Linked DNA regions of Oreochromis niloticus. The protein of the gene in region 2 binds, or shares a complex with, the protein of the main gene of each other region. Links are inferred from orthologs where the notes say so. Each region holds a gene or a part of one and is shown on either strand. Other genes may lie near its edges. The genes, in order: get1 and camlg.

Evidence for each region.
Region 1: camlg (region 2) and get1 share a complex: the UniProt entries of both Homo sapiens proteins name them as parts of the golgi to ER traffic (GET) complex. The link is inferred for Oreochromis niloticus from reciprocal best matches to the Homo sapiens genes CAMLG and GET1.

Annotation. Positions count from the first base shown.
Region 1 is NC_031979.2:14,818,518-14,822,117, reverse strand, and holds the start of get1 (guided entry of tail-anchored proteins factor 1), read left to right. Parts: upstream 1-1,231; 5' UTR 1,232-1,619; coding exon 1,620-1,709; intron 1,710-2,172; coding exon 2,173-2,338; intron 2,339-3,600. Other genes in the region: hmgn1a (non-histone chromosomal protein HMG-14A-like), read right to left, coding at 870-884. UniProt on the Homo sapiens protein: Required for the post-translational delivery of tail-anchored (TA) proteins to the endoplasmic reticulum (ER).
Region 2 is NC_031975.2:23,197,757-23,201,893, reverse strand, and holds the start of camlg (guided entry of tail-anchored proteins factor CAMLG), read right to left. Parts: upstream 2,942-4,137; 5' UTR 2,762-2,941; coding exon 2,611-2,761; intron 1,126-2,610; coding exon 683-1,125; intron 556-682; coding exon 490-555; intron 1-489. UniProt on the Homo sapiens protein: Required for the post-translational delivery of tail-anchored (TA) proteins to the endoplasmic reticulum.

The DNA.
Region 1 (3,600 bases), on a different chromosome or scaffold from region 2:
GAGCTGACTCGAAGGATCTGGCGGGTGCGAGTTTATTTCCCACAAAGCAACAGCAGCTCCGTGGACACAAGAAATAAGGAGTGGACTCACTCCGCCTGCTGTCACTGTTTATATCACCAGCGTGACTAAACTGGAAAAAAAAAAAAAAATAAAAAAAAAATAATAAGGTCATCCTCCATTACTAATAGAGCTCCGCTTGACAGCAAAACGGCCAGATGTGTCGCTGTGCTGTCGAGGATACATCAGCTGCCATTAACGAGCCAAACCAGAGAGGGGGGGGGGGAAAGGGACTGCACACCTCAGGAGTGACGCGCACCAGCCTTCCAGTGCGCGCACACTCGCCTGAGGTCAAAATCTCCGCCAAATTTGGCCGCAAATGCGACTAAAAAACCCGACACGTCCCTGAAAGTGCAGCTGGTACCTGAAACAGCACGCGTGTAACCCAGAGCACAAGTAAATAAATAAATAAGGAGGCAATTACGAAAGAAATTTCCCCGAAATGCCAACCTGTGCGCCTCGATGGTGATTACACCCCTTTGTTTCGGCGCACAGTTGGTGACTATTAAAACTCAGCCGGGCACACGGTTTACAAAACAGAAGCTTTAACTGGACTGGGGGGGAGAGAGCGAAAAAAGCAGTGCTAAGTAAAAAGGCGCCACTTCCCTGTATCAGCGGAGTGAGACACGACAGACCTGAGCGCAGGCAAAGGTGGACTCCACGGCACGCACATGGACACGCCGTAGCGTGTTGCATTGCATTGCTCCTGCATACGTGTATTAACACCACAAAACAACTGCTACAGTTTCTTAAAACGCTATTTCTGCATCATGCCGACCCAAGCGTAAAGCACACATTTTCTTTCCACTTACTTTCTTCCTTCCCATTGTTGCTTAGGTTGCACGGCAGGAATTTTAAAAAAAACAGGAACACTGCCTTTCTTAAAACAGTTACACAAACAAAAGGAGGAGTTGTTGTTGTTTTGTCAGCCCAGCCACCTCTGCCTACACCTCCACCAGCTGCAGTCTGTAACTTAACATAAACGTCCGAGCAGTACCAGAACTAGCTCAAACCGGATTGGATCCCCCTCTCGGTATATTTTATCCCTTATCCTACCAACCTACCAGGAAGAGAGAGCCCCCGCCCACTGCTTCCTGTGATTGGCTTTGAGGATGAGGCAGCATATTTTTGAAACACAACATCTCTACCTGTGTGGGCAGGACAGTGTGCCAATCAGTCAATCCAGGCCTTATCTAACTTTATAACCGCTTGGCTGGCCGCTCACCGGGTGTATTAGTTGTGTGTGTGCGTGTAGGGTTTAAATAATGTATGGCAGATGGTGAGCTTGAGATATAGTTTACATAAAGAAAGAAGATTATTAAAAAAATAATAGTGCCTGCATTTTTCTCCCTTTCCCATCCAGTCCTTTATTATAGAGGACGCCATATATATATGCACGTTACATTATTTCACTACTGCAGTGTTCAAAGACAGTCGTAATTACTAACAGCATGTCCCGTCTTTAGTGGGATAATTATTAAAGTCAGTGCACTGAGCAGTCCAGCCGCTCAACAGCTGCAACAAGGAGGAGGCTGACTGAGTGGAGGAGAAAGGAAACAAACATGGCGGCCGGCTATGCATGGTTCCTGGTGCTTGGCTCGGTTTTTCTCTGCAATCTTATGAAAATCCTTCTACCGACCATATCTTCCTTCGTGAGTAGGAGTTATTGTTTGCATATATGGTAGTTGTTAAAGTTGTTTGAATGCCGGTGTATTATTATCTGTGTCCTCGTCGGACACACGGTGGATTGTTGTTGACTTGCTTAGCCGTCTGTCAAGCTAACTTATAGCTGTTGTACCTCCTCAGTTATAGCTGAGCTACAACCAGAGGGTGGGGTTAACCGAGAATCCGGTAGTTGCTGCATTTAACTGGGATTCTTTTTCCTCCTTTATCGCCAAAGGTCCTGCTTTAATGTTAAGAAACTGTGTTTACAGCTTAGCTATACGGCTAAAGATTGTTTGTAGCTCGAAAGGTTGCCTCATGGAAATCTTAAGTGTTAAACTGACATTCATAGGTACTGATTAGACTGCCTAATGGGGACTAGTACTGTAATTATAAACATTTCAGTCAGGCCCAGGCTGCTCAGTAATAGTCTTTTCTTTGCCCTTCTTCAAGCTCTCAAAGATGGTGCAGAAAGATGCTGAGCAGGAGAGTGAGATGAGGGCTGAAATCCAAGAGATGAAGAAGGAGCAGTCCTCCATTAGCATGATGGATGAGTTTGCTAGATATGCCAGACTGGAGCGCAAAATCAACAAGACAACAGACAAGCTGAAAACACATGGTGAGATGTAAAAGTGCCTACTGACATTCAGAGGATAGCTGGTGTGACAGGAGCCTCAAAATGAAGTTAACTGCATCAGAGTGATGAGCTCTAAAAAGTTAAAACTAATTGCTTTTTCTTTATGGAACACAGGAGAAAATATGTAGTAGGTATTCTTAAAGGGCATATATTATGTCTTCCACAGATGTGAATGTCTGTTAATGTAGATTTACATGTTAAAAATTATCAATCAGAAGACATATTTGGGGGTTTTTAGAGGTAAGTGACTGTTTTTGGCCCCACAGCCTCAGGATTAGCATCCACTTCTGTCACACCAACCCTCTGCATGTGTTCTTTCACTGAATCCATCAGTCTTCTCTGTGGTCTTCCACTTTTCATCCTGCCTGGCAACTCCATATTAAACATCATTTCATCCAGTATATCCACCCAGCTTCCTGTGCACATGTCTAAAACCTTGTCTAAACCATGTTAGCTTGCCTCTAACCATATCACCAGACTGCAGACCTGTCAATCTTGGTCACTCCCATCTTCAGTTCTGCCACCACCAGCTTGAGCTCCCGTCTTTTTGTCAGCACCACTGGCTCCAAACAATACATCATAGCAGATCTTACTCCCATCTTATGAACCTTCCCTTTCACTCTTGTTGCTATCCTTCTGTCACAAATCACCCCTGACACTTGTCTCCATCCACTCCAACCTGCATGCCCTCTACTCTTCACCTCTCTTGTTCATGCTCTCTTGTTTTGGTTTGTTGACCCAGGCAATCTGGTAAAGAAACACTGTCTGTTCTGTGTGATAACTTACTTAGCAATACAAAGGCTACTAAAGACTGTTTCCCTGCTGACATATTCCAAAACCTGCACATTGTCAATTTTAAATTATTGTACAATCAGCATTACACCCAGGCTCTTCTCTATGTACTTAAGTCATTATTTTGATTTTATTCTGACCGCACTGTCTTGTGATTCTCAGTGTTGACTCTAATCCTTACCTGATTCTTGAATAAAAAGTAATAGTGCTGTCTGTTTACACTTAAGCAAAAGATTTACTTTGTGTAATGTTGGTATTAACAAAGCCCATATAAAGAATGGACTAATACTTTCCCTGTTACCCTGTGACTGGTTAAAAAAAGTAATTTATCCTGGTTTCATCCCTTGACATGGGATGGTCAAATAATAAAGTGAAACAAAATGACAGTTCCATCTGATTTAAAGGAACTGGCAGTATCACTACAAAATAAAGAAAAATTAATATGTTGAGAC
Region 2 (4,137 bases):
AACAAATAGTTTTTTATCTTTTTTTTTAAAAAAAGGGGGGGTGATGGGTGTGGCAACTTCCATCCCCTGGATACAATGTCCAGTAGATTTGAAATCCTGTTTAACCAATAATTCATTGAGAAGTGTAAACATGATCTTGGTTAGCTATAACTGGTTAGTCCACTCTGACTGGTTAGTCCTCTCTGAAGACACAGCAGTGTAGCAGAATTAAGGCTGTGAATTCATAGGCGTGCTCCAGGACCTCATGTCCATTTTAATATTGAACTTTGTATGAACTTGGCGTTGGTTGGTTGAGAAGATTGCGGCTAAAAAGACTGGGCTGTCAGAAACAGCACAACTACATCGGCGAAACCGCAATAGGTCATTGTATTTGATTTTCCATTTATACAGAGGAAAAACAAAAGTAAAATATTATTTGTAGTGCTGTCCACAGCTGTTACACAATGTGTGCATGCAGACTGATGAGAGTCTTAAAAAGTAAAAACTCACCTTTGGAAAGTATTTGGACAACCCCATGTAGGCCAGTTCAAGTGTCAGAAATGGAGCAAATATTGACTAAAATAAAACAAGATAAATGTAGCATTAACAAATAAATACATATTTGGTACTGATACTGGCATAAAATGTAAAAATGAACTCCTTACTAGTGCGCTAACAAGTCTGTTAAAAGCTACAGGCTCACCAGATACTTGCAGACAAAAACCCTGACAAAAACAGCAAGGAGGACGCTGCCGATGAGCCTGAAGACCCTGAAGGGATCAAACTCCTCTGAGTCTGACCCTCCGTCCTCGGCCGGCTTTTCATTGGCCAGCTGACCCCGAAGCTTCATGGCATCATCAAAACGAGACAAGTAGGATGCAGAGAGAAAGCCTGGACGAGGAGAGCCACTGACATCATCTGACGGCCGCTCGCCCCTCGGTCTCCGCCGGACTCCTCCGATATCATCTTCCGAGGATCCTCCAGGTGGCTCACTGGAGAGCTCTGGCAGGGGTGAGCCTCTCCTCTCCGGGGTGGAGCTGTGGGAGTGACTGCCAATCCCTGGAGACGGTCTAGGAGAAGATGAGGCAGTGGACCATGGCTCTAGAGGCAGATGGAACCGGGGTTCTGCGGGACGCCGTGACGCTCCTGACAATGAGAAGACAATAATCAGTAATATGACATTAGCTAGTGCTAAAATGATTAGTCAGCTATGCAGAAGTCCCCACCCCCCCCAAAAAAAACAAACAAATCCAGGTGTGATGTAACTGCAGAGTTTTAGCTTTAATTCAAAAGGATTTAACAAATTAACTAATGATCTTTATAAACAAATTGCAAGCAGTTTAGATTTTGTACAGGGGATGATGGTTTTACTTCAGTTCAGAGACAGCATAATATGGATAACAGATTGTAGTACCAGTAAGTTTCCAGTAAGCTTCTTTTTGCTGGGTTTGATGGAGTGAAGACACTCTGATGACTTCCAGCTTGTCTGTGTTGTTGAAGTTAAACTGGGATGTTAATGTCAGCATAATTTTTTAAACAGCCATTTCCCGTGCCTCACAGTGTTCAAGAGCACAGGAGTGAGTGAGAACAGCGAGGTCTGAGCAAAAACAATCAGGACTTGTCAAAACTCATAGTATGTTCCACAGAATTGAGGATTTCAACACATTCAAGTCTGGGAAGATTGATTTTGGATATTTAGAGTAGGATAACTTCAGCAAGGGCACTCATGATGAAGGAGGAGAGCCTGGGGCTCAGTAGATATGGCCACACTGAAGAAGAGAACAGTGACTGCTGATGATGGTCACTTTTTGAAACATGATAACTATGATGTGTTGCCAAAGAAAGGTAATGACATCTGTACTGTGAGGAGCTGATCATAGACAGTAATGCTGGTGTTGTGCCATAGAGTGCTTGTCTGCCACTTCTGATTTTTCTATGCATTTTCAATGTATAATATCTTTGCTTATTGTACCTACATTATAATAAATCCAGTCATTTTGGGCCACTTAAAATATCTCAATAATTATTTGTTGCAATTTCAGCTAACCTTTTGGCTATATCTCTCTATTCTGCATGCCAATTACACTTTTTACCCTGATAAATAAAGGATATATAAAAGTCACAGCCAAAAACCAACTGCAGCGTTTACCTTGTCACTCACTCCTGTGCTTTCTGGTTCCAAATCACTAGATATTTGTTACGAGAGATATGCTTGGCATGTATTTTTTGTTTACTTATGTACTGACTACTGCAGCTTCTCTGCAGGTGGCTTAAAGCCTGTGTGCAATAGGACAGGTTGGCTGAGGTACCTTCTATCTACACTGCTGTATTGTTGTGTATTAATTATTCTGTTTAAGGGAGCTGAGCAGCCTGTGAGCCACCCTCTGATCCGCACCTGCTAATGCTAACAGCATTTAGCATGATTTGAATCCCAAGCTGCTGCCATTTTCCTCTTCTAGTTAATATATCTGTAGTGAGCCCGATTATTTACATAGTAAGTTATGGTCCTAAAAGACAGCACTAACGTCCTGACTGCAGCAGCAGGATGAGGCGGGTCTCTGTCACGACAACGTGTTTCAATAGGAAAGACACGCCCAGGAGAAATTCAGAGGATCGTTTGTTACCGATTACCGTTATTTTCAGGCTCGTTTTTGGTGATTCCCACGATCCTGTTCATCCTGTCCTCTGAATTCATGAGCAGCCTTTTCCTCCGGATCTCCGCTCTCTTCTGCGCCGCCGACATGGAGCCCGTCTTCTCCTCGCTGGCCTCCCCGGACTCCATGTCGATAATTAAGTAAATTAGCCTTTAATGCAAATTCAGCCCACAGTACATAAAGCTAGCGCTTCAGTAGCTCACGGTACACGACACAGAAGCCTCAGACCACTGAATTAAACGCTTAACACGAACGAGCGACGAGCGTTAACTGTGGCGCACGGTGATGATGTCAGCAAGTGACAAAGACGTTTTTTAGATTACGTCAATGATTTGTGATGATTTATTACGACCAATAATAATAAAATAATAGTAATGAAGGGGCTGGATGGGTATATATATTTACTGCAAAAAGGCAAATTTACAACAAAAACGGGTCATAAATTTTCAAAAAGAAAGGTGAGGATAAAAACAAATGGCAAGTTTACAAGAAAAAGGTTTAAAAAAAACTCGCTATATTTATGAAAAATATATATATATTTATGGTAAATTTAATCGTTTCGTTCTTTATTTATTTTATTCTTAGTTTATTTGAATCTTCAACCTCTTTATGCATTTCAGTGGCTCTAATACGCCTTCATGAAACTGTGCATAAAAATGTAAAAAAAATATTAGCATTTAACGAGCGTATAAAAGTACAAAGAAACACACTAAGGAAACAGTGTTTTCTGAGTGGCAAAGCATAATATCTCACAGTAAATTCTAAACAGAAATGTTTAAAAAGAAAACAAAAAACGGGATAATTTCATACTTTTTGTTTTAATCACCATATCACAAGAATCGCCATATCAGTACAAATGTCCACTGATCAATATTCTACGATAGAGTATTAGCACTGTAGAGAAACGTGGGATTGAACCTCTCACTACATTGGAGACAGGATAAAAGGTCTTAACATCCAGCCTTTATGATTACAGTGAAACAAAGTTCTAGTAAAGAGCTTATCAATGTGTGTTTTTCGTTTGTATCAAAGTTATAATCAAAGTATATGTCTAAGTAATATGATGAATGAGAAATCAATTTGTGTAATGAAACTGATTTAATATTTAATCTCCTGACCTTTTACTGTGATTTGGTGAGTGTGCGCGCTTTTGTGCTGAGGTTGATTGTACCAGCAGGGAATCTAAATATGGCACACAGCCTAGAGCTTGTCTGAGGTCTGTAGTGCTTGGTCAGAATGACTAAGCAAATACTCAGAGAAAGTTTGATTTTTAACATTTATGATTTAATTAATTTAATTGATAAAACAAAATTAAATGAAGTAAATTGTGGTTGACAAACTGAGTTTTGAAGAGTAAAGATTAGAGAAAGTACTTCTATATAATGAGCTGTTTGGAAGATTGGATCTAAGCATTCACATAAAATTCCAGGGGAGATACCAGAGGGATCGATCGCTGAGGCGGGGACATAGGCTAACAACATTTTATTCTTTGTTGACAAAAAAC